7 linked regions of the Cricetulus griseus genome follow. The protein of the gene in region 1 interacts with the protein of each later gene in a pairwise test. Links are inferred from orthologs where the notes say so. Each region holds a gene or a part of one and is shown in the gene's direction. Other genes may lie near its edges. The genes, in order: Ndn, Ccdc136, Apbb1ip, Eid1, Zbtb1, Ssx2ip and Lax1.

Region 1 (2,796 bases):
TGATGGAATTGTGTGAAGTGAAAAGGGCTATATATAGACAAAGCTTCCTGATCTCCAACATTTGTGGAAATGAGGGAGACATGACATCAAATAAGTAGAGAGTAGAAAATTGATTACCAAAGGCTGTGAAAGGAACATGGAGGATAAAGATTGCCTTCTGAAACAAGAACATAGTTAGGAACAATATTCTGTAGTGTACTATAACAAAGTGCAGTGGGTGTACTCAGCTATACATGTTTAAGGAGATAGAAAAAGGAATTTTAAATATCCCTAAAGGTTAAAGTGATATATGTGTTAATTATGCAAGTTTGCTTACTGCATATTGTGCTTGTGTATAAAGACAAACTCTTATTTGTGTCAATTATATGTGTATATTGTGTAAGTGTATGCAAATTTATGAGAAGGGTGTTGTGTATCCTGCTCTATTGTTCTCTACCCTATTCCTTTGAGACAGGATCTCTCACTGAACCTAAACTTGGGCTGGTTTCTGGCAAATGCCTGTAATTCTCCTAATTGTACCTCTCAGAGCAGGGTTTACAAACACAGACTATGCCATTACATTTTTTGTGAGTCTTAGGGATTTGAACTAGGGTTCTCACACTTGCACTACAAATGCTCTTACCCATGGACTGAGCCAATTCCCATCCCAATAAAAAAATGTTTAAACACACACCAATTATGCTATATAATTTTATTACTTCCAAAACATTCAAATTCCACTTGGGCTGATTTCCAGTGTCTGTAATGACACTTTATATTCTTCCGTATTGGATCTGGACTCAGGTTTGGTAAAGATTTGCTCTATTAATTTTTCAACATTCCAATCTTAAACATCACATTATCTTCACAATGCTCGCACTTCCAAAAAAAAAAAAAAAAATCAAAAACTCATTACTGTCTCACTCTTTTGTAGAAAGTCCAAGCTCTCTAGCCAGTCTACCCCCTTTCACACAAAAACTCAAAGGTGCTCTAACTTGACTTCACCATCTCAGCTGCATCTTTCTACTTAAACTTGCTCCTTCCCCATCACCATCTCTTTCTAGCTCACCCAGGAGACCTGGAGATCTTTCCCATTAGTTTAGTGGTACCCTCCCTCAGACCCCAGTGGTTGGGCTTTGCATCTCAGCTCCTATCCAGCCCTACCACCCTTCTGGCTTGCCAACACGCATGCGCAGTGTCAAGTCCGCCCCGCCCGGCCGCTGCTGCGGAAGGCACAGCTCTCAGTAAAGCGCACTTCCTCTGCTGGTGTCCACTGAGGGAGTGCTGGTTCCAAGAGCTCCAAGTCGCAGCGGTCCTGCTCTGATCAGAAGGCGCAGACATGTCGGAACAAAGTAAGGACTTGAGCGACCCTAACTTTGCACCTGATGCCGCCAACTCCGAGGTGCAGGAGAGCTCTGAGATTCCGGTGGGGGTCCCTCCTCCCACATCTCCAGCCGCGATCGTCGCAGAGGCACCAGAAGCTCCTGAAGGCCCTATGGCAGCCCGGCAGGCCTCGCCGCCGCCTCCAGAAAGGTTAGAAGATATTGACCCTAAGATTCTGGAGCAGGCCATAGAGGAGGGCCGCGCCCACAATCCCGATAGCCCGGTCCGTCAGCTGCCAACACCACCCGCCCCGGCCCAGGTGGTGCAGAAGGCGCACGAGCTCATGTGGTACGTGTTGGTCAAGGACCAGAAGAGGATGGTCCTCTGGTTCCCAGACATGGTGAAAGATGTCATGGGCAGCTACAAGAAATGGTGCAGAAGCATCCTCCGGCGCACCAGCCTCATCCTTGCCAGAGTTTTTGGGCTGCACCTGAGGCTGACCAATATCCACACGATGGAGTTCGCCCTGGTCAAAGCCCTCAGCCCAGCAGAACTGGACAGAGTGGCGCTGAACAACCGTATGCCCATGACAGGCCTCCTGCTCATGATCCTGAGCCTCATCTACGTGAAGGGCCGCGGGGCCAGAGAGGGAGCCGTCTGGAATGTGCTGCACATCCTGGGACTGAGGCCCTGGAAGAAGCACTCCACCTTCGGAGACGTGAGGAAGATTATCACCGAGGAGTTCGTCCAGCAGAATTACCTGAAGTACCAGCTTGTTCCCCACAGCGATCCTCCTGAGTACGAGTTCTTCTGGGGGTCCAGAGCCAACCGTGAAATCACCAAGATGCAGATTATGGAGTTCCTGGCCAGGGTCTTTAAGAAAGATCCCCAGGCTTGGCCCTCCCGCTACCGAGAGGCTCTGGAGCAGGCCAGAGCTCTGCGGGAGGCTAATCTTGCTGCCCACTGCCCCCGCAGCAGTGTCTCTGGTGATTAGGAAGGTCCCCAGCATGTTGATAATTTCTGACCCATACTTGGGCTGTATAAGGGTGGGGTTGGGTCATTAGAGTATTCCACATTCACAGTGCAGTATTTCATGTGTAACCTTTAAGTTTTCCTTACAGTGCTTTTGTACCTTTCAATGCAATATATTCATTTGTGTTCGCTTGGAGCGTGTTAAGGATTTATGCATGTGCGTTTACAAGTAAGCAAGTGGATGCTTTCACTTCTGTGCTTTTTTGTACAAGAGATGTGCTGTGCTGAACCTGTGAAATCCATTGAGATGTTGTGTATCTATTCTTTGTATGAAAGTGATGATCTGTATCAACATAAAAGCCCAGGAGAGTTAGGAGGTGAGCAAAGCAGGCCTGACCAGAGAAAGGTCAAGGGCCCTCTTATATGAACTCAACTGGCACAGGAAGCATCCCTGTGGAATGGACTGATTTGAACTGGAATGTTCTCAGTGTAGGCACTTAGCACACCCTACCAAACATGTAT
Region 2 (4,223 bases), on another chromosome or scaffold:
AATCTTAACAGCAAAGTCAGAAGAGCACAGCAGAGTATCTAACAAGGAAGGGCTAGGGTGTCCAGAGACTCTCAAGGTAGGGCTGAAATGACTGATAAGTAGGGATAGGTAGGCAAAGAAGTACTTCGTTCCTGTGGAACATGGCATCCTGAGAAGGTGAACACAGCCAATCCATGTCCAAACTTTAAGAATGAGACTACAAGAGAAAGAACTAGTGTGTGTACCCAGCTTAGAAATCGCCCTCACAGAGCCCATTCCACATAGAGGGATACTCCCTGAGCCCAGACACACGGGGGCGGGCCTAGTCCCTATCCCAAAGGACACAATAGACTCTGATGACCCCCCCCATGGAAGGCCTCACCCTCCAGGGGGAGCAGAAAGGATATGTGATAGGTAGGGTTTTAGTTGGGGGGGGGGCTTGTAGTGGAGGAGGGCAAGGAGAGGGAACTGGGGTTGACATGTAAAACCATCTTGTTTCTAATTCAAAAAAAAAAAAAAAAAAGGAATCGACCCACAATTTTGACTTGGGGAGCCAGTTCCTGTGTACCCACTTCTGACCTGAATGAGACCTGCTGAGAAGTCAGATCTGTCTCAAGATCAAGATCGTCTCTTGAGTGGATAGTTGAAAAAGTGAAATAAGCCCTGTGGTTTCCCACACCTTCTGTTAGAGGGGACATCAGCGGTGCCCACAGGACATGGGGGCGTGACTCAAAGGACATGGAGAGGACAGGTCTTGGTGCACCGAGGGCAGCAGGGTTGGGCTACGGAGGGCTCCTTCTAAGTCAGTCCTTGGCTCTGGCTTGGTGGGAATTCGGAAAAGGCAATGATGCCTGCCTTGCAGTTGGCACATCCAAGTCTCAAGTTCCCTACTCTGCAGCCCTGCAGCAGCTCTGTGGCACGTGAGGCCGCCAGGAGGAGATGGATGGGCTCGGTGAACTGCGGCCATGGAGACCAAGAAGTGCGCGCGTGTCTGCGCATTTGCAGGAAACAGTCCATTCTTGGTTTTTTGTTTGTTTGTTTGTTTGTTTGTGCCTCAATCACCAGGTAGGACCAGGCCCAGAGACCCAGAGCAGAGAGGTCCTTAGGAGCGACTGACCTAGGGTGGGTTCTGTCGCCAGAAGCCACCCATCTTGTCACTCCTTGGGAGCATCCTTAGGACCCGGTAGCTCACGTCCGCCGTGCAGGAGGCGCAGCAGACCCGGAGCTGCCTCCGGTGAGGCTTGGGCACTTTGTTAACGCGCAAGGAGCCTCCAGGGCTGGTCCCTATGCGGTCCGGAGCCGCGGGGACAGAGAGGGTTTCCGGGCGGCGGCAGGCTGGCACCCGCGTCAGGTGGCCAGGCCAGGCCCCGCCCCCTCGCCCCGCCCTCTCTCCTCCCTGCGCACCGCACCGGGCTCCCGGTCCCCGGCCCCGCGGCTGCGGCTTCTGCTCGGAGGCTGCGGCGGCGGCGGTGGCGGCGGCGGCGGCAGGAGCGGCCATGGAGGCAGGCGGCGCGGGCCGGCGCGGGAGCGCGGGCTGGAGCTGCCCCGGCCCAGGTCAGAGCCGCCCCTCCCTCAGCTCCCCATGCTCCTTCCCCCTCTGCTCTCCTTCCTCCTGACCCCCGGGTGCCCGGGGTACTGAGTCGACTTCCTCCACCCCGGCCTCCATCTTTCGACCTGGGGGTGTCCCCTCCCTAGCGGTCACTCCTCGAGTGCTCCCCACCTCGTCTCTCCAGCCCGACCGTGCTTCCAGCTCGCCAGGGGCGGTGGAAGCAGCGGGGGGGGGGGTCTCGAGCCTGCACCCTTCCAGTTCATAAAAGCTCTTGACCAGGGGGTGAGGGTGGGCTGGGCGAGGTTTGGTGAGGGAGGGGAGGGGAGAGGAGAGGCCTGGGTTGGAGCCCCTTCCCTCCAGGTCCGGCCGCCCCTCCCTTCCCTGCCTTGAGCCACCCGCATCCTCCAAAAACCTTCTTTCTTAGTTCCCATCCTACCCCTCTTCTCCTTGTGCCCCAAGCTACACACTCACCCTCTTTCTGTCTGGGCGGGGAGAGGAGCCGGCGACATCCTGGATCAGGGGTGCTGAGGCTGGGCAGCGCCGCGCTGGGGTCCTCTCCTTAGGCAGAGCATGGGAGGTGGCGAAGGGAGTAGAATCACACAGCTGGACAGCGTGAGTCAGGCTCCTCCAGTGGGATTACAAATTTCGGGGCTCCCAGACAAGAATCCGCGTCCCTTTCTTTCCCCTCAGCCCCCAGCCTCTTTCCAATCCTACAGTGCCTACTTTCTCCTGCTCACAGGACCCACAGTAACCACTTTAGGCTCTTATGAGTTATCTGAGGGTTGTGAGAGGAAGAAAGGCCAACGCTGGGGGTCCCTGGAACGCCGTGGGATGCAAGCTATGGAGGGTGAGTTTTCTGTCGAAAAAAAAAAAAAAAAAAAAAGCTTTTCCATCTTCCATCACCCTACTCCCCAGTTCCCTTCCATCCTACTTCCTTCCCTGACCCCAGAGCTCTGAGGAGCCAGGATACGGCCCTTCCCTCACTTCATCTCAGGCCCCTCCTCCCTGGTGGCAGAGCTCCAAGCCTGTCCTGGGCTCAGGCATTGATGGAAGTTTGGGCACATCCCTTTGGGCTCCAGTCACCCAGCTAACCAGGTTGTGTGTCCTGGGGGAGCTGCCAGACAGACAGAGGTCCTGCTGAAAGGAGCCTGGAAGCAGCCTTTCAGCGGGGCGCTTGTTCTCACTGCCTGCTGACCTGGATCCCAAGCTGTCTCTTATTTTTAAAAGCCAGGACATGGGCGGGCGTGTGAACTGTCTTTCTGATGCCTCCACTGTCAACTTTGAATGGAGCCTTGCAGCTTTAGTAAGAGAGGCTTAGGAGAGATCGAAGTCAACTTCCCACCACCACACCACAGGACAGGGCAGGGAGGATCAACCAGGACTTCTTGTGAAGTGACCCCAGGCCCTTTTACAGTTCAGTACAGGCCTCCCCTAGAGACTCGATAGCATAAGGGGTCTCAGATGAACCATATGCTATTGGTATTAGAAAAAGAAAACCAGAGATTCAGAATTTAAAAACAAAGCAGTCTCCACCAAGACAAGATTGCTATTTACGGGAACTGCATTGCAGTAAAAGAAGTGCTCACCAATCCAAAAATGGGACCAGTACCAATTCAAGATTTTTGGTTTTTTTTGTTTTGTTTTGTTTTTGGTATTTGTTTTCTAAGACAGGGTTTCTATGTATAACAGCCCTGGCTGTCCTGGGACTGGCTCTGTAGACCAGGCTGGGCTTGAACTCACAGAGACCTGCCTGCTTCTGCCTTCCAAGTGTTAGGATCACACCTGGCTCAATTCAGTGTTTGGTTTTTTTTTTAATAATTTTACTTTTACTTTATGTGCATTGGTGTTTTGCCTGCATGCATGTCTGTGTGAGGGTATCAGGTCCCCTAGAACTGGAGTTACAGACAGTTGTGAGCCGCCTGTGGGTGCTGGGAATTGAACCCAAGTCCTCTGAAAGAGCAGTCAGTGCTCTTAACTGCTGAGCCATCTCTCCAGCCCCTCCAATTCAGTTTTTAAGATATGTCAACAGTACTGGAGGGATGGCTTAGCAGTTATCTTGTGTTTGATTCCCAGCACCCACATGGGAGCTCACAACCATCCTATAACTCCTATAACTGACCCCCAAGGCTACTGCATGCACACTATAGACAGACATACAAGCAGGGAAAACACCCAGATGCATAAAATAAATAAATATTTTTTAAAAAAATGTGTTTGGATGGCAGGCTTTCTTTTATGCATGAGTTCAGTTTCAGACTTACCCTGAAAACCAACTTGGGTCAGCAGGAAAGAGGTGGCACCCAACAGGAATAAAAGTTAGTGTAGAAATTTTCAAAGTCGGGGCTGGAGAGATGGCTCAGAGGTTAAGAGCGTGGACTGCTCTTCCAGAGGTCCTGAGTTCAATTCCCAGCAACCACATGGTGGCTCACAACCATCCGTTATGAGATCTGGTGCCCTCTTCTGGTGTGCAGATATACATGGAAGCTGAAATGTTGTATACATAATAAATAAAATCTTTAAAAAAAAAAAAAGAAATTTTCAAAGTTATTTGATAGCTTGCTTTTGAAAGGGTTCCCACATTTACCCAGTAAACAGCTCAGAGCCATTCCCTTCCAATGTTTTCCTTCTCCACTACAGGCCAAGCCAGTACTTTCCTATTATTAAAAGGCCACCTGGATGTGGGTTTTTTGCTTGT
Region 3 (3,500 bases), about 76 Mb from region 1:
AGGATTTACATGGTAAGCATGTTTTCTTAAGCAATTTGAAACCCTAATGATGACCGAAGTCTCCATGGAACTATACTCTGACCATGAAACTAAGGAAATGTGAGCATTGTGGTAAATAATGTGTAAGCCCCAGACTGTGGGCAGTATTTTACTATGTCTACACTGAATTAAGAAAGTCCATTAGATATTTTTGTCTATAACAATGAAAGGGAAGACCATCTTCCATTTATGAAAAGTCTCAGGACAACCTCACCTTTTGAAAAGGAAAGCAAAGTTTCTTCTTATTACTAAGGAGCCCATTATCTTTTAATTTTTTTATTACAAAAATTCTTAGCTAGGCATTGGTGGCACACACCTTTAATCTCAACACCTGGGAGGCAGAGGCAGCCAGATCTCTGTGAGTTCGAGGTCAGCCTGGGCTACAGAGCAAGTGCCAGGACACCTCCAAAAGTACACAGAGAAACCCTGTCTCAAAAAGCATACATATATATCAAAGTCATTCAGAGAACGACAGACTTAAGAATGGAATCCACTTCTCATTCTCTATTTTATCTAATGTTGTATTGATTAATATAATTTATCTGTAGTAACATATCTAAGCTATATAAAGAAATTTTAATTCTTTGGCATATTGATATATTAATGAACAACAGAGCTACATGGCACTGATGATGTCTGGCAATGAGCCAGCTCACAGTGCTTTCTGATTTTTTTTACTAAATAGGTTTGTTTTCTGACACTCCCATTTCCTCATTTTGGGCCATCCTGCACAGGGTCCACTCCTTCTTCACTGAACCATCATGCAGTGACTGCCTGATTCCCAGTGCACTCTGCTGATGCTGTCCCCGACACCACTCCCTCTGTTCCATGCAATCTAGTCAACTTGCTGAGCATGCATGTGGCCTCTACAGTAGTCTCACATTTGGACAAAGTCCTAATGAACTCTCTTCCTTCCCCATGTCCCTGTAAGCCTTGTTCATTTTTTCTTATAAAAGCTCACCCAGCCCACTGTTTTCATAAAAACCTTTACTACTTAATCTTACTGGTTTTACTCTTTAACACCTTGGCTGCATTAATCTTGCACTTACGATGGTAAGGTTCCCTGAAGTCAGACGGATGGGACAGACATTTAGATGTTCTCCCTAAAGTCAGATGAAACCCAGCTGATCACCAGTGCTCTCCCTTAAAAATTCTTAGGGAGAACCCCCTTCCATCCATTTCCACTTTCTTCCTCCTCTACTGTTCCAAAGACTGAGGCCTTTGCACCAAAATACTCAGGAGTTCCCTGTGTAGGCATCTGCTCGTGTGCTCCAACCTGACTTTGTGCCTAGAGTGTGAGACACACCCCTGGAGAGCACAAGTTTTCCCTCTTCTTCCCGTTAGAAACTTACTGACATTAAGCACTGAATGTAATTATTTCAGGAGTCCCAATATGTGGGGGTGTGCTACTGGATAAGAATATTCTCCATCTTTCTTATTGTATCATAACAAGTTAAATAATGATTCCCACTTATGCATATGTTGCTCTTAAAAGAAAAACAACTGCTTTCTGTGTTATCCAGATGCAAATAGTTAAGCTTTCTTTTCTTTTCTTTTCTTCCTCTTAGAGTCCTTAAATGCCCTGGAAGACCAAGATTTAGACACCCTCATGGCAGATTTGGTAGCAGATATAAGTGAAGCTGAGCAGAGAACCATCCAGGCTCAGAAAGAGTCCTCTCAGAATCAGCACCACTCAGCGCTTCAGGAGGCATCAGATGGCTGGGTTGCAGCGTCACTTGGTTATGGAGCAAGTGCTGCTGCAGCTGGTGTTGGCCACTATGAAGATGCTTTACCACCTCCACCAGCAGAACCCATGTTAGACCTTCCACCACCTCCACCACCTCCACCACCTCCTGAACCTCTCTCTAAAGTAAGCATTGTAACGAGTCTTTCCCTGCACTCAAAAACATTTCAAGAACCATTGGTGTTAGAAAAGATGATTCTACTTTCAAAGTGTTCTGTAACCAGAACACTTCATTTCCTAATCATAATAAATAAATACATGAATGAATAAATAAATAAGCCCTAACAGTTCTATTCTCAGGATTGTAAGTTATCAAAGGAAGTTGAGCTTATAAGACTATTTCACACTCTTTGCTATTATTGTTCATGTGTGTTATCAGTGGGGTGTTTTGTTCGTTTGTTTGTTTTGCTTTGCTTTGGAGGATTTGTGATTTACAAATCACAAATTTACAAATCACAAAGTTAAGTTTTGACTTTTGTATTAAGAAATTGGATGTTAAGGACTTTTTCAAGTTTCTAATAAAAACTATGAATGTTCCCCTAAATAGACACCATGATCCAAGAGGATGTGTATGACTTTATGAAGTGCTCAACTCCCTTAGGCTGAATACATTACTGGATTCTGTAGGTTGGTCCCTGTATCAGTTCCTTTTCTGTTGCTGTGATAAACCAAAACAACTTAAGAGTGGAAGCGTTTACCTTAATGTAAGGAACAGTTCGTCCTATCAGGGGAGAGAGAGCAGCAGGCCGCCAGAGCAGGAAGCTAACTGATCATATTTCTATTCGCAGGGTAGAAGCAAAGAGCAAACTAGAAGTGGGGTGAGGCGGTAAACTCTCAAAGCCCAGCCACACAGATATATTTCCTCCAGCAAGGTTCCACATCCTAATAGTTCCATTTCTCCACACAGCACCACCATCTAGGGACCCAGAGTTCAAGTACATGAGTTTATGGGGATATTGATCATTCAAACTAACCCAGTCCCCTGTTTTGTGAGCTGATCACAGAATAGCATACTCTAATAAGTGTATGATGCACTTGTTGAGGTCATCATTTCATCTTCTAGGATGAAATTCCCAGGGCTATAAACAATAGTTTCTTTCTGTACCTTTTAGTTAAATATTTAATCACAAGAATTTGTTTATATTCTGGAAACGGGGGATGTAAAATTTGATGATTTTGTTACTATAAATTAACTAGACACTAACACTAACAAGAATTTCCCACTGATATTATTTATTAGACCTTACTGACTGTCTTCTTCTTTACAGGAAGAAGAAGAAGCCCAAGCAAAGGCTAATAAAATTAAATTAGCACTGGAAAAACTGAAGGAAGCCAAGGTCAAGAAGGTAAACCATCAATCACTTTTGCATAGGGGGCATTAAATTAATGATATCATGTTATAGTTACTGATAAACAGTAAAATAAAATCCTCACCTGTCTCTGGGGAGCTCAGTAGCAGGTCCCTGCTTACCATACTCAAGACCCTGGTTTTAACAGTATCATTGAAAGGAAACTAAAAGTGGCACTTTCCAATAATTATCATCTTTAAAGAATTCTCTGGACGCAGTGAAATGGCATAATTTTTCTCTGTATAATATCATTTAGCTAGTTTATGATTTCTGGGTAGGGAACCTGCATCCAACCGTTTCTTGTAAAGGCTTTCTATTGGGTAGTATGATGGCAAAGAGCTCCCCTTGGTGAGATGGAGCAAGAATGA
Region 4 (3,566 bases), on another chromosome or scaffold:
TGACTCCTTAAAGCATACAGGCTTGAAGGATAAATTTGTAAAGTGAAAAATAGTGTCTTCACACATTTTCAAAGGATTCCTACAAATCAGCAAAACAAACATAAAGTAAGGCCTGTTAATGTGTTGAAAGAAAGCAAATGCCCCCTATACCTACTGAAAGATCATTGTCCTCTAATAAATTAAAGTTATGGAAAGGTTATAAAGATACAATCTTAGGGCTGGAGAGCTGGCTCAGCAGTAAACAGCATCAGCTGCTCACACTAAGGAGAGAGTTTGGGTCCTAGCACTTACAGGGCAGTGCAAAACTGTGACCTCATTTCCAGGAGATGAACATCCTCTTCTGGCCTCTGCAGGTGATGCACACACAAGGTGCATGGGCGTTACACAGAGGCAAAACACCCATACACATAAAAGAGAACAAGCTGATAAAACTGAAATTAATTTTATTAATTCAATAAAACAACAGGAGCCAAGGGTGTGAATATTCTCAAACACTGCAGGTTAAGTTTGTAGAGCAATTGTGAGCCTGATTACCCATGTTTATTTAAAATATGCATATCCTATGAGCCTAGAAAAGAACACTGTGGCTTCCATTTTCTCCATGGTGTACGTACACACACACACACACACACACACACACACACACACACACACACAATTTGTCCACGATTAGGTCAACGTCAGTATATTCAGGAAGAAAAAAAAATGGAAAGCTGAATTTTCGTGCCGCGCAAGCCGGCAGGCGAGGTGGATTTGAAATGATGAGCAGTAGTGGACGTCCTGGTCCCAAGGGATGCTGGGGAGGCAGGAGGTGGATGACTGACAAGGGATGCTGGGAAGGCAGGAGGTGGATGACTGACAAGGGATGCTGGGGAGGCAGGAGGTGGATGACTGATGGGATGCTGAGGAGGCAGGAGGTGGATGACTGATGGGATGCTGGGGAGGCAGGAGGTGGATGACTGCCAAGGGATGTTGGGGAGGCAGGGAGGTGGGGGAGAGGCGGCAGTCTGTCCCAGAAGCCCGGTGTTTTCCGGTGCAGGGACGTGACAAGTGTGACAGAGCAAGCAAACATCAAGGAACCTAGAGCGGGGTCTGCAGATGGAAGGTCCAGACCCAGCAGAAGCTTCTGGGAGTCCGGCCCAGCTGGAGGAGGGGGAGGTGGTGGTGGAAGGGGGGGGGCTAGAGCGGTCTAGAGCTCACGCACGCGCACCACGCCCACCTCGCGCCAGGCTGGCACGCGCACCCAGCCCGCCTACTCGCCTGCGCGCGTGTCCCGTGCCCCCCGCAAGTGCACCACGCATGCCCACTCGTCTGCGCACGCACGCACGCAGGCACGCACTCCCGCACGCGCGCCACGCCGACCCACTCGTCCGCGCGCGCACGCGCCCGCGCACCACACCCGTTCGCGCGTCCGTGTCGGTGGAAGCGTTTCGCCTGGCTGACTTAAGAGGCTTCCACCATGGCGGAGATGGCTGAGCTTTGCGAGCTGTACGAAGAAAGCAACGAGCTGATGGACGAGCTGCCCGGCGAGGGCGATATGGAGGTAGGCCGCGGGGCCCGCGGGCCCGCGGAGGAGGGCCCCATGGAGGAGGAGGCCGCGCCGTTAGCCGCCCGCGCCCAGCGCGGCCTGTTCCCCGAGGCTGGCGCAGATCTGGAGGGCGACGAGTTTGATGACTGGGAGGACGACTACGACTTCCCAGAAGAGGAGCGCTGGAGCGGCGCGATGCACAGGGTGTCTGCCGCGCTGGAGGAAGCCAACAAGGTGTTCCTGAGAACGGCGCGAGCCGGAGATGCCCTGGATGGCGGGTTTCAGGCGCGCTGCGAGAAGAGCCCTTTCGACCAGCTCGCCTTTATCGAAGAGCTGTTTTCGCTGATGGTTGTCAATCGACTGACCGAAGAGCTCGGTTGTGATGAGATCATTGATCGAGAGTAAATGCTGACGAAAGAGGAGGAAACTACCTGAGAGGGAGAGATTCAACATTCTGCTGTTTTTGGGTTCATTCCAACTAGTTTTGTGCAAAAAACAAAAAAAAAAAAAAAAAAAAAAAAAAGGTTTTTGTTTCCCGGAATAGAAGACAAAACAGTGAGTGACCGTGCAGTCTTGGAAAAGGAGAATCGAGGAAGGAGGGGCTCAGCAAAAAAAAAAAAAAAGCTCTGGTTCAGACTGTTGAACGAGATGATTTTTCCCTGCGTTGGAGAAGAACTTGGTCGTGTTAAGCTTGTAAAAATGGTTTTGCAAGAGAAAAATCGTGACTGCCAATACAAGAATCTAATTAGAGAATGAAGAAGAATACATCCACAAGATATCTTTGATTCGAACTGAGAGCCTGTTGAGAAAACTTTCCAAATTCTGTTTTGTGGTTTATATAAATCAGTTATCAAAAGCTAAATTTGAGATTTAAGATTGAGTATTCATCGACCCCCCCAAAGAAAAATCAAAGTGAATATGTGTGTATAAGTGTAGATGTGTGTTACCATGTGTACTATTATCTTAAAATGTGTTACAAAAGCTGGGATTTGACTGCACATGTATCTTCATGATTTATAAAGCTACTGTGATCTGTAATTTGGAAAAATCCCTTGTGATGATTTTTAAAGTTACATATTAAAAAAAAGCCAATCAGGATATCTTTTTAAAGTTTTAAGTTCATGCATTAAAATTTATGGGAAAGCCCAAAGACAAACTTTCTAATAAATACCCTTTTATACTAGGGAACTTTTACTCACTGTTTTTTACCTTGACAGATGGTAAGACTATAGCTGAACTTCATATTGTAAGAACTGTTTGTGAAAAATTGTCAAGTAAAAGGAAACCCTACCTGTACCTATAAAAGATTATATGAGCTATTATGCTGTCAAACTTTGGAGGTTTTAAATCTGCTCAGAAGTCCACCTGGATACCTGATACTCATATTCTCTCTCTCTCTCTCTCTCTCTCTCCTCTCTCTCTCTCTCTCTCTCTCTCTCTCTCTCCCTCTCCTCCTCTCTCCCCGTCCCTCCTTCTGATCATGCTTGTTAGTCCCTATGCACCAGCATTGGCGATAATAAATTTTCCTGTTCTGTGTATTTTGTTTTGTCTAATAGCTCTGCATAGATACTTTATTTAAGCAAGATTCTTTTATTATGTGGTATCACTGCATTCATCTTAAGATTTAAACAGCCAGTGCTTACAATGGTAAAATGAAACCATTTTCAATTAATTACCTGACCAATAGAATGAAAGAATTGGCCAGCCTACGGAAACCTGCCCTGCATATATGTTGCTGTGTGTTATTTGGTGAAGATGCTGAAGTTCCTTGAGTGGTAATTGCATCAAAGGCCATGCCAAGAAAAATTACTCATTAGCACATCTTTTATGATGAATTAAAAAGTCTGACTGTTCCTATGCCATGATGGGAATATAGGACAGTAGGATAACTCCTCGGGATTTTTTTGGCTGGGGGTGGGGTGGTGGTGGTGGTGGTTTATTTGTTTTATATTCATCTTGTTTGGGAGGCTGGGCAGGTGGGATGGCTCGGTGGGTAAAGGCAACTTCTGACATACACCCAAGCCTCATGACCAGAGTT
Region 5 (3,500 bases), on another chromosome or scaffold:
TTCAAAAGGCTTTTTTTAATGCTCTACACTCAAGTTATTTACTTTTAGTTTAAGTTGCTGCTTTATTTACTTTGGTATCTTAATGTCTGTCCCTTTTCAAATTTAGTATGAGTTTTCCCTCTAGGATAAAGACAGTTTTGTGTATATGTTCATTTGTGTACAGAGGCATACATATTCGTATGTGTGTAGAGGCCTTGTTCCTCAGTGCTATTTACCTCGTCTTTGAGACAGGGTTTCTCATTGGCTTGGAACTTCACAGGTAAGGTAGCAGGCTGGCCCACCAGCAAGTCTCATGGGTGCAGAGGGGTACCCCATGCCCAGCTTTTTAAAGACATGGTTTCTGGGGGTACTCATGCTTCCTTTTTTGTTTGTTTGTTTGTATACAAGGTCTCACTATGTAGCCTTGGCTGGCATAGAATTCCAGGCTGGTCTGGAATTCATAAAGATCTGCCTGCCTCTGCCTTGTTTTTAACTTTAAAAATATTAAGGTTTTTGGTTTTGGTGCCTTTTGTTTAATATGAGAAAACCAAATAAATGGCTAGATATTTTCATCTTCAGATTTAAAAAATGATTTAAGCATATTTCTGATTTTGCTTCATTGGCATAGAAAACTATGATTGAATAGCAAAATTATGCAAGTCAAAAATCATGCTAAAAGTGTCCTTCTTTAAAAGTGCCTCTGATATCTGACTGTCATATTTTTGTTTTGCATAGGTCTAATTAATAGAAGATGGCAAAGCCCAGTCACAGCAGCTACGTCCTTCAGCAGCTAAACAACCAAAGAGAATGGGGTTTTCTCTGTGACTGCTGTATTGCTATTGACGACATTTACTTCCAAGCACACAAAGCAGTCTTAGCTGCCTGTAGCTCCTATTTTAGAATGTTTTTCATGAACCATCAGCATAGTACTGCACAACTGAATCTCAGCAACATGAAAATAAGCGCTGAGTGTTTTGATCTCATTTTGCAGTTCATGTATTTAGGGAAGATTATGACTGCTCCTTCCAGTTTCGAGCAGTTCAAAGTGGCAATGAACTACCTACAGCTCTACAATGTTCCCGACTGCTTAGAAGATATACAGGACGCGGACTGTTCTAGTTCAAAATGTTCTTCTTCTGCTTCCAGCAAACAGAACAGCAAGATGATTTTTGGGGTAAGAATGTATGAAGACACAGTGGCTAGAAACGGCAACGAAGCCAACCGGTGGTGTGCAGAGCCCAGTTCAACGGTGAATACCCCGCACAATAGAGAGCCTGATGAAGAGTCTTTACAGTTAGCTACTTTTCCTGAGCCGCTGTTCGATGTGTGTAAAAAAAGTTCTGTGTCCAAACTATCTACTCCAAAAGAACGTGTGTCACGTCGCTTTGGACGGAGCTTTACCTGTGATAGTTGTGGATTTGGCTTCAGCTGTGAAAAATTACTAGATGAACATGTGCTGACCTGCACTAACAGACATTCCTACCAAAACACAGCAAGAGCTTACCACCGGATAGTAGATATTAGAGATGGAAAAGATAGCAACATCAAAGCTGAGCTCGGTGAAAAGGATTCTTCCAAAACATTTTCTGCACAGACAGACAAATACAGAGAAGACGCCAGCCAGGCGCCTGATGGTTCAGCTTCGACCACTGCAAGCAGAAAAAGCACGGTAGAGTCTGGAATGGCTGGTGAAGAAAAAAGTAGAGCTGCTGAGACAAAAAGAATTATTATCAAGATGGAACCAGAAGATATTCCTACAGATGAGATGAAAGACTTCAACATTATTAAAGTTACTGATAAAGACTGCAACGAGTCCACTGACAATGATGAATTAGAAGATGAACCTGAAGAGCCATTTTATAGATACTATGTTGAGGAAGATGTCGGCATTAAAAAGAGTGGTAGGAAAACCCTAAAGCCTCGGATGTCTGTAAGTGTGGATGAAAGAAGTGGTTTGGAAAGCATGAGACCTCCTAACAATAGCAGTCCAATCCAGGAGGACACCGACAATGCATCTTGTGAGCTGTGTGGACTCACAATAACTGAGGAGGACCTGTCATCTCATTACTTAGCCAAACACATCGAAAATATCTGCGCATGTGGTAAATGTGGACAAATACTTGTCAAGGGCAGACAGCTTCAGGAACATGCTCAGAGATGTGGAGAACCTCAGGATCTGACGATGAACGGGCTAGGAAATGCTGAAGAGAAAATGGACATGGAAGAGAACCCTGATGAGCAGTCTGAGATAAGAGACATGTTTGTTGAAATGCTGGATGATTTCAGGGACAGTCATTACCAAATAAACAGTATACAGAAAAAGCAGTTATTTAAACATTCTGCCTGTCCTTTTCGGTGTCCCAATTGTGGTCAGCGTTTTGAAACTGAAAATTTAGTGGTTGAACATATGTCTAGCTGCCTAGACCAGGATATGTTTAAGAGTGCCATCATGGAAGAAAATGAAAGAGATCACAGACGAAAACATTTTTGTAACCTGTGTGGAAAAGGATTTTATCAGCGGTGTCATTTGAGAGAACACTATACTGTTCATACTAAGGAAAAGCAGTTTGTTTGTCAGACATGTGGAAAGCAGTTTTTAAGAGAGCGGCAGTTGCGTCTGCACAATGATATGCACAAAGGCATGGCCAGGTATGTCTGTTCCATTTGTGATCAAGGCAACTTCCGAAAACATGACCATGTACGGCATATGATCTCTCATTTATCTGCTGGTGAGACTATATGCCAGGTCTGCTTTCAGATATTCCCAAATAATGAACAGTTGGAGCAGCATATGGATGTTCATCTGTATACTTGTGGAATATGTGGAGCAAAGTTTAATTTGAGGAAAGATATGAGATCACACTATAATGCCAAGCATTTGAAAAGAACCTGAGGGGCTTTCTACTGCACGAATGTTTAGTTGATAGGCAGAACACCAAAGCAAAAGGATATGAGCTATTTAGACACTGATTTCATAAGAAGTGTTGGGGAAAGATTTCAAGGCCCTTTTACTTTAACATTTTTGTTTAGGACCTTAAGTATATTTTAGGCATTAAATGTTTATCATTTTTGATGTTTCCAAGAGCATTCTTTGTTCATAGTTTTCTTAACTACCATTAAAATTACTTTTCAATGTAGACTGTAAGTGGCTGTTATCCCTTCAATGACTATTAAACTAGTTTTTTTTTAATCAATAAGGTAATGATTTCACTATTTCTATGTACTTTCATTTTAAGGTTATCCTATGAAATTTTAAACCCAAGATTACTGACCATTCCTGCTTAAATTTTTTAAGAGTTTTTAAATAATTATTTAAAACTGTCATTCATTTTTTGCTTCTTTTTTGCTTTTGCTTTTTTGGGGTTTTTTTTGGCTTTTTGGCTTGTTTGTCAGTTGTATAGTGGATGGCTACTGTTCATTCTCCCTTATCAATGAAATCCATATTCTTAAATTGACAAACTTAGGCAAGTGAGGTGCACTGAATCTAACCTTCAAGGTGGACATGGGCTCAATCTTGGCCT
Region 6 (3,500 bases), on another chromosome or scaffold:
TTGTGCAGTGTGAAGGATAGTATTCCTAGTCTCTTCACACTCAGTGGCATTTGTTGTTCCCTAAAGGCAAGCATCCCCAGAGTATGAAGCCTGCTGTAGATGAGTGTGCTCCTAGCGTGTGAAAGCCTTACAGAGAATTCTGGGAGCTTCAGGGATAGCAGCACAGAGGAAGAGCCTTTTAAGACCATGTTGTAGTTCTTGTATATAAGTAGAATAAAAATGAATTTAAATAAGGCATGTGATTTTATATATTGAACTTGGTAGTAATTGCTTTAAGTAAGCTTGAGTGTGGCTCAGAAGTTGGACTGTAGTTCCCAGGTTAATGTGTGGTTCTTGTCACTCCTGAGGACAAGTGGCATATTTTATGTTCCAGGAACAACTGGAAACCTCAAGACGAGAGATGATTGGGCTTCAGGAGAGAGACAGGCAGTTACAGTGCAAAAACAGGAATTTGCATCAGCTTCTGAAGAATGAAAAAGATGAGGTGGGTTTTCTGTTACCTTGCATGAGGTGAACTATTGGTTTTTAGAATTTGAGGTGTGACATAATGGCCACTTCACCTTTTAAAAAGAACTGTCTATTCTGCGTCACACTAGCATGGTGGGTGGCCACGCTGTGCCCGTCCTCTGCCCTGCTCCAGGAGGACATGAGCCCATGGCTGGCGGCAGGCAGGGCCCCTGTGCTGCCCTTCGGTCCTCTCTCATTTCTCTCAGGCACAGGAGAACTGAGAGCACGCGTCGTTGTCTCCTCGGTACTGTACAGAGGCAGCGCTCCACACCTCCCCCCTTGCATCAACCCCTCTCCAGCAAGGCCTCCCTCTACAGGGAAGGCCTCTCAGTGGCTCTCGCCTAACCAGGGCCATGCACATGCTAGGCAAGTGCCCTGCACTGAACTGTCCCCTTTCTCCTCTCGTGTGTGATCTTAAACATTACCCTTTTTTATCTAGCAAAGAATTAACCTGATTAAATGGCCACAGTGTGGAACACTTAGTGCCTAGGATGCACAAAGCTGTGGTGATTCATATTAAAAATTTCACTTCTAACTCAAAATACTCCAACTCTAATATGTGCTTGGTAGGTACCTAGACCTTATTTTTAGCTGAATCCTGACAGCACTGTGATGACATGACACTGACCCCTATCCATATAGTAGCTAAAAAAATATTATTTTCAGTGTTTTGTTCTTTAACTCAGAGGCTTGGAAGGGAATTTATTTCTATTTTCTTTTTTTTTTAATGTGTGTATGTCTGTTTTACCTCCATGTCTGTGTACTGTGTATGTGGCTGGTGCCTTTGGAGGCCAGAAGATTGGGTCCCCATGGAACTGGAGTTACAGGTGTTTGTGAGCCACTTTATGGGTACACAAGCCAGGTCCTTTGCAAGAGCAGCAAGTTTCTTAACCACTGAACCATCTCTCCAACCCCGATAATCTATTTCTTAAAAGCCTATGATTTCTTTTTATGCCATTTAATTAGTATTTAATAGTGAATAATGAAGCAGGGCATTGGTGATGTCACACGCCTTTAGTCCCAGCCCTCGGGAGGCAGAGGCAGGCAGATCTCTGAGTTCAAGGCCAGCCTGTTCTTCAGATCGAGTTCCAGGACAACCTCCAAAGCAATACAGAGAAACCCTGTCTCAAAAAAACAAAACAAAACAAAACAAAAAAAGTGAATAATGACTATCTAACCAAGGTTACTACATAGAAAATTGTGATATGATGTGTTGATTACATTTAGTTTGAAGTTTGTCTTTGGTCTGGAGTAAGCTAAAACACCACTCTATGGCTAGGATTGAGATGGCTCTAAAGAACAAAGTACACTTCCTGTCAGGAGCTGCCCTAGCTGAGCCTGGTAGCACAGGTCTGTAACCCAGCCGCAAGGGAGGTGGGCAGGAATTGAGAATCAAGTCCAGCTTGGACAGCCTCCAGGTAAAAAGCAGTCTGGGGGTGTGGCTCAGCAGTAGGCGCTAGCCTAGCATGTGCTGGCCGGCCAACTCAGAAGAATAGCACCTGACCTAGCTTCCCAGCGGTGGCTGCTCAGAGAGAAGACAGCTTGCTGGCAGCTGCGTGCCGCTGTGTATTGTTGTCGTTCACTGGTAAGAAGTGAAACTCATTATGAGGGAATATGAGCTAGGACCAGTTAGGACTGGTTTTACCTTTTGAATTTATGATTTTAGTGGATGCATCACCACTTGTTTGATAGAAAGTGTTTTGTCTTTCAGGTACAAAAATTACAAAACATTATAGCCAGTCGGGCTACTCAGTATAATCATGATATGAAGAGAAAAGAGCGTGAATACAATAAACTAAAGGAGCGGCTGCACCAGCTTGTTATGAACAAGAAGGATAAAAAAATAGGTATGACGCTTACCAAGAGTGAGCCTCGTGCCTGCAGGGATGTGCCCATAAGCGCGAAGGGGTGACGTACTTTCATACATTGCAAGGTTGCCTTTAGAATTTAGGTATTTCCCTATAAACTGGAAACTGAGACAACCGGTTTGTGGAGAGAAAAAAAATAAAAGCCTGGGTCATTTAGTTTGTCTTATTACTTTTGCTATAAGACAAAGTGACCGAGACAACTTCTAGGAGAGTTTATTGGGCTTCCAATTTCAGATAGTAGTCAATGACTATTATGGCAAGGAACATGGTGCTAGAGCGTCGCTGAGAGATCACATCCTGAGACAAACGATGAGGCAGAAAGAGCCAAAGCCCAGCTCTAGTGACATACCTCTCCAGCAAGGCCACACCTCCTAACCTTTGCCAAACAGTTTCATCGCCTGGGAACCAAGTACTCAAACGTATGAGCCCCGGGGGCCATTCTCATTCACACCAGTGCACGTGTATTTGCCTAACATGATGGGTTTGGAGTTGAAAAGTAAGCCAGAGGACACTGACTCCCATAAAGAACTGGAACCCGAAAGCATCACAGTGGTTTCTGAATGTCAAAGAAGGGTGATTTTAGAGTTGGCTTTGTAAATGGCAGCAGCAGCAGCCTGGGGTGGGTAGCTGTTTCTTTTCCCAGCCCAATCAGAAGAGATAGATTTCATTTACTAGTTCAAAATCAGAATAACTTTTTTGTTATGAAAGTGAGTCTGTCTGTATCTGGGGCAGATGGACATTAGTGCTGTCAAATTTTCATTCCTGTGAGGTTGACAACACTGATGGGGTTAGCAAGTCAGGCAGGGCCTTCTCTGTAATGCCCGAACAATGAGGAAGTTCAGCATGCTTCCTCTGCCATTGCAGGGAAGTCCCCTAACAGCATGTAGATAGGCAGCTGTGGCTAAGTTCTGGGAAAGCTGTGTGTGCTGGATGCTGTGTTCCCTCTGTGAGTACATCCCTGTATCCTTAAGTGATGTCATGTACAGATACTGTGTTCCCTCTGTGAGTACATTCCCTGTATCCTTAAGTAATACCATATACAGATACTGTGTTCCCTCTGTGAGTACATCCCTGTATCCTTAAGTAATGTCATGTACAGATACAGTGTTCCCTCTGTGAGTACAT
Region 7 (4,184 bases), on another chromosome or scaffold:
GTGGGGTTTCATGAAGACTACAGGACTAGTCTGCAGCATCCTAGAGCCCTGGGAGAGCCAGAACAGGCAGAGCTTGTCTGGGCTCTGGAAGCCAAGGACTCCAATGTCCACTGGAAAGAGGTCAGGGAGAGGCCTGGTGACAAAGGCACTGATGGTCATCCCTTTCATCTTCCTGCCGCCCCAACTGGTTTGGAAAGTGCAGTTGAGAGGCTCTCTGCATGCTCTATTCACTCTTCTGAACATACGTGGAGCAAAAAGGAAGGGGAGTTAGAAACAAACTCAGAGCATTCTCCTAAGATTGGAACCTTCAGGTCAGCGCTACGGAGGAACCACTGGCACCTGAAATCAGAGGCTACCCAGGATTGATATTGAACTACAGAAGAGGCAAGCCAGCAACAGATGCCCCCTTGCCAGCAGCCCCGAGTCCCAACAAAGAAACAGCCTCCAGAGGTCCTGCAACCCAGGCTCAGTTCCATTCCCACCATGACACCGGAACAGAGGTACACAAAGTGTGAAACACTGCTTCTGGTACTATCACCTACTGAGAATCTATTTATAAGGCCTGTCCACCCACGGAACCACAAGCAGGTGCCAGATCCGCACTTCTCTCTAAACAACTACTTCTAGTGCTATTTAGACCTGCTAAGAACCAGGCATGGTGGTACACTTTTTTAATCCCAGCACTTAGGAGGCAGAGGCTAGAGGATCTCTGTGAGTTTGAGGCCAACCTGGTCTACATAAGTGAAATACAGAATGGTCAGGGAATGGTCTCAAAGAAAAAGAAAGATAGAAGAGAAGAAAGGATGGATGGATGGGAGGAAAGGATGGAGGAAGGGAAGACGAGGGGAAGAAGGGGAAGGGAAGGAAAGGGAACGGAAGGGAAGGGAAAGGAAAGGAAGGGACAACAACAACAACAAAAGCCAGGTAGTAGTAGCACACACCTTTAATTCCAGCACTCAGGAGATAGAGTCCGATGAATCTCTGAGTTCAAGGCCAATCTGGTCTACTGAGTTCCAGGACAGCCAAGACTACACAGAAAAATCCTGTATCAAAAAAAAAAAAAAAAAGGAGAAGAAAAAGAAAAGAACCATTCTGAACCCTGAGCCTAGCCTACACCTGGAACCCCACCACCAGGGACATTAAGACAAGAGGGTACCATGGGTTTAGCCAGCTTGGGCTATGAAGTGAGATCTGCTTCAAAACCAAACAAAAACAGTCAGCAAGATGGTTCATTTGATCCAGGCACTTGCCTGTAACTCTGAAGACCTGAGTTTGATTTCCTGAGCCCCACGTGGTAGGCGAGAAGGACTCCCCCAAGTGTCCTCTGACCTCCACACATGTGCCATGGTATGTGTGCAGACACACTAAATAAGTGTACTAAGAATAAATAAGTAAAACTAAACAACAAAGTATTTTAAACCCCCGAATTTTGACCTGGAGGCTTATAACACTTTGAAAACCAGAGCGATCAATCCTGTCTCTGATTCCCTAACCCTCTTTAACCACGTGTGCCCCAGATGCCAGAGTGCCCGTGGGGAACAGCAGGGCTGAAGATGGGTTTCCTGCTGCCTGTGGAGAACTGAGCATTTCCTGTGCCCCGTGCCTCATTAGCACACTGGTGAAGGTGCTTCCTGTCAGTGACTCTTTCCATTCTGCCAGAGCAGTTTGCATTTTCACTCTGCTCTGGGGGGGTGGAAGAAAGAGTTTCTCACAGATCTGCTGGACCTCTGGGCATTTTTTTTCCCCTGTGTACCTCACGTTTCCACCAACAGGCAGAAACCAGAGAGCCAGCCCAGCCACTTCACACTGGGAACATCAACACCTGGATGAGAGACAGCTGGCTTTCTCCAGTGGGCATTGTGGTCACCCCCAGTGTACCAAACTCGATGCTTTGGAACCTTGTACCAACTCAGCCTGGAATTTCAGGTGAAGGTAGGGAGGTTTGGGTTTTATTATTATTGTTGTTGTTAGTATAGTAGTACATTTATTTATAGTGTGTGTGTGTGTGTGTGTGTGTGTGTGTGTGTGTGTGTGTGTGTGTTTGAGAGAGAGGGAGAGAGAGAGAGAGAGAGAGAGAGAGAGAGAGATCAGAGAACAATTTATGGGAACTGATTCTCTCCTTCCACCATGAAAGTGGTGATGGGGGCAAATTTGGGTCATCAGGCTGGCAGTAAGCACCACCTCTACCTGAAGAGCCATCACACCAGCCCAAAAAAGGGAGTCAGTTGGAGAAAGTTCTAGAACAGAAGATTAGAATCTTCAGAAAGATTAAAAAAAAAACCAAAACCTTTTTTTGTATATGAGACCTTTGGTGAGTACAATCTAGGAAGGATGGCTGGCAGGGGGTGTTCTGACAGTAGACTGCTTGCCTACGGTGTGCACAGTCCCAGAGTCCCAACCCTAGTGCTCATACAGAGTGTAGCATATGCCTGTAAGTCCCAGTACTAAGGAAGCAGAGGCAGCAGGATCAGAAATTCAAAGTCGTCTTCAGCTATATATCTTGGCTACATAAAGAGTTCTAGGCTACCCTGAGAGGTATGAAACCCTGCATGAACAGCTATATAGCAAGCCCCAGGTTAGTTTGAGATACATGCATCCCCATCTAAGTAAATGAATAAGAAATTTCAAGAGTAGCAGTTGGAGAGATGGCTCAGTGGTTAAGATCATTGACTGCTTTTCCAGAGGATCCAGGTTCAATTCCCAGCACTCACATGGCACCTCACAACTGACTGTAATTCCAGTTCCAGGTGATCTGTCACCCATAGTCAAAGTGCCAATGCATATAAAATAAAGACTTAAAAAAATTGAAAGAAAAAGAAATTTCAAGAGTAAAGAGAGATACATTTGGGAAAATATGGAGATTTGGAGAATTTTCTGTCATTCTTATATTATCTGCTTTTTTCCCTTTTTTTTAAACAAAGGTGGTTGTATGCAAAATACATACCAATTTGCCTTTTTTTCCTACGAATCAGCAACTTAGAAAGAGTCAAGAAAAGGGCAACAATACTGGCTAGTCAATATTGACACGGAGAAGACTTAAATGCTGCAGAGCCCCTGAGAGGTTCCAGGGATGTACACCACACCAGCCCCACCAGATGTCACAAGAAGGAGGAACTCAGGGCCCAGCACTTCGCAGGGGACTCTTGGCAGCCTGGAAGGGTGAGTGCTCTGGGGAAGTAAATGCCACTGTCCCTGGTAGTGCTGCCACACCTACAATCCAGGCCTGGGCCACCAGGACCAGCAAACTGTGAGCTGGGAGGGAAGGAAGGAGATGGAGGTGGAGGACTGACAGCTGAATTTCTGATTGGATTTCCTTCCTCTCAGAGGCCTTGACTTCAATCTTTCTAATCTCTTGTCCCACTATGATAAAAACAAGAGCCCTAGTTCCCCAGCAATGAGATTTTAGATCCTAAAACCTTGTCATGAGTTGTAAATGTAGAGATAGCAGTCATAAAGCTGCTGGGCAGTGGTGGCACACTTCTTTAATGCAAGCACTTGAGAGGCAGAGGTAGGTGTGAGTTCGAGGCCAGCCTGGTCTACAGAGCAAATTCCAGGACAAGTTCCAAAGCTACAGAAAAACCTTGTCTTGAAAAAAAAAAAGTCATAAGACATCAGATCTTACAGACTAATCATGGATGTAAATTCACCCCTGAAGTTCTCAATCTCAGATAAACAAAAGTCTATTGGGTGGTGAGACTTCAGAAATGCTAGTGGGCGTGAAACCTTTTCAATTATTGTAGTTTTAGGAAAATTTATTAGTATTACCAGAGAAAATCCTGCATGTCCCTTGCAGGTAAAAGATGCCTGCTAAAAAGACATGAGTTCGTATCATTGTTGAAGCCTGAAGCAACCTCCCAAAGCTATTTCCTTTTTTTTTCTTTTTTTTTTTTTAAATTTTTGTTGTGGGGGAGTAGAAGGGTGGAGAGGTCAGGGTGCAGGGATTGGGTCTTTCACCATGTGGGCCTCAGGGATCAAACTCAGAGTGGCAGGTTTGACAGTGGATACCTTTACCCACTGAGTCAGCTCACTAACTCTTAAAACTATTGCTTTTTTAAATCGATTTTTGTTTTGTTGTTATTTCCTTTTTCTTTTTAACTTTGTAACTACAAAGTAAAATTTGTATTTTTATACTGTATTTAAGCATGTTGTTTTGAAATATGTACACATTGTAGATGGCTAAGTTG

What was found.
Region 2: the proteins of Ndn (region 1) and Ccdc136 interact in a two-hybrid assay, tested with the Homo sapiens proteins (2 studies listed by BioGRID). The link is inferred for Cricetulus griseus from reciprocal best matches to the Homo sapiens genes NDN and CCDC136.
Region 3: the proteins of Ndn (region 1) and Apbb1ip interact in a two-hybrid assay, tested with the Homo sapiens proteins (2 studies listed by BioGRID and IntAct). The link is inferred for Cricetulus griseus from reciprocal best matches to the Homo sapiens genes NDN and APBB1IP.
Region 4: the proteins of Ndn (region 1) and Eid1 interact in binary tests that used the Homo sapiens proteins (3 or more experiments, as listed by UniProt). The link is inferred for Cricetulus griseus from reciprocal best matches to the Homo sapiens genes NDN and EID1.
Region 5: the proteins of Ndn (region 1) and Zbtb1 interact in a two-hybrid assay, tested with the Homo sapiens proteins (2 studies listed by BioGRID and IntAct). The link is inferred for Cricetulus griseus from reciprocal best matches to the Homo sapiens genes NDN and ZBTB1.
Region 6: the proteins of Ndn (region 1) and Ssx2ip interact in a two-hybrid assay, tested with the Homo sapiens proteins (2 studies listed by BioGRID). The link is inferred for Cricetulus griseus from reciprocal best matches to the Homo sapiens genes NDN and SSX2IP.
Region 7: the proteins of Ndn (region 1) and Lax1 interact in a two-hybrid assay, tested with the Homo sapiens proteins (2 studies listed by BioGRID and IntAct). The link is inferred for Cricetulus griseus from reciprocal best matches to the Homo sapiens genes NDN and LAX1.

The regions. Positions count from the first base shown.
Region 1 is NC_048596.1:135,134,389-135,137,184, reverse strand, and holds Ndn (necdin), read left to right. Parts: upstream 1-1,318; coding exon 1,319-2,296; downstream 2,297-2,796. UniProt on the Homo sapiens protein: Growth suppressor that facilitates the entry of the cell into cell cycle arrest.
Region 2 is NW_023276806.1:198,421,405-198,425,627, reverse strand, and holds the start of Ccdc136 (coiled-coil domain-containing protein 136), read left to right. Parts: upstream 1-1,423; 5' UTR 1,424-1,475; coding exon 1,476-1,533; intron 1,534-2,267; coding exon 2,268-2,375; intron 2,376-4,223. UniProt on the Homo sapiens protein: May play a role in acrosome formation in spermatogenesis and in fertilization.
Region 3 is NC_048596.1:211,346,542-211,350,041, reverse strand, and holds part of Apbb1ip (amyloid beta A4 precursor protein-binding family B member 1-interacting protein), read left to right. Parts: coding exon 1-12; intron 13-1,607; coding exon 1,608-1,909; intron 1,910-3,051; coding exon 3,052-3,129; intron 3,130-3,500. UniProt on the Homo sapiens protein: Appears to function in the signal transduction from Ras activation to actin cytoskeletal remodeling. Suppresses insulin-induced promoter activities through AP1 and SRE. Mediates Rap1-induced adhesion.
Region 4 is NC_048599.1:52,888,037-52,891,602, reverse strand, and holds Eid1 (EP300-interacting inhibitor of differentiation 1), read left to right. Parts: upstream 1-1,240; 5' UTR 1,241-1,459; coding exon 1,460-1,933; 3' UTR 1,934-3,066; downstream 3,067-3,566. UniProt on the Homo sapiens protein: Interacts with RB1 and EP300 and acts as a repressor of MYOD1 transactivation. Inhibits EP300 and CBP histone acetyltransferase activity.
Region 5 is NC_048598.1:127,104,443-127,107,942, reverse strand, and holds part of Zbtb1 (zinc finger and BTB domain-containing protein 1), read left to right. Parts: intron 1-714; 5' UTR 715-730; coding exon 731-2,872; 3' UTR 2,873-3,500.
Region 6 is NW_023276806.1:12,743,947-12,747,446, reverse strand, and holds part of Ssx2ip (afadin- and alpha-actinin-binding protein), read left to right. Parts: intron 1-373; coding exon 374-484; intron 485-2,218; coding exon 2,219-2,354; intron 2,355-3,500. UniProt on the Homo sapiens protein: Belongs to an adhesion system, which plays a role in the organization of homotypic, interneuronal and heterotypic cell-cell adherens junctions (AJs).
Region 7 is NC_048598.1:55,501,480-55,505,663, forward strand, and holds the start of Lax1 (lymphocyte transmembrane adapter 1), read left to right. Parts: upstream 1-1,384; 5' UTR 1,385-1,932; intron 1,933-2,921; 5' UTR 2,922-3,070; coding exon 3,071-3,159; intron 3,160-4,184. UniProt on the Homo sapiens protein: Negatively regulates TCR (T-cell antigen receptor)-mediated signaling in T-cells and BCR (B-cell antigen receptor)-mediated signaling in B-cells.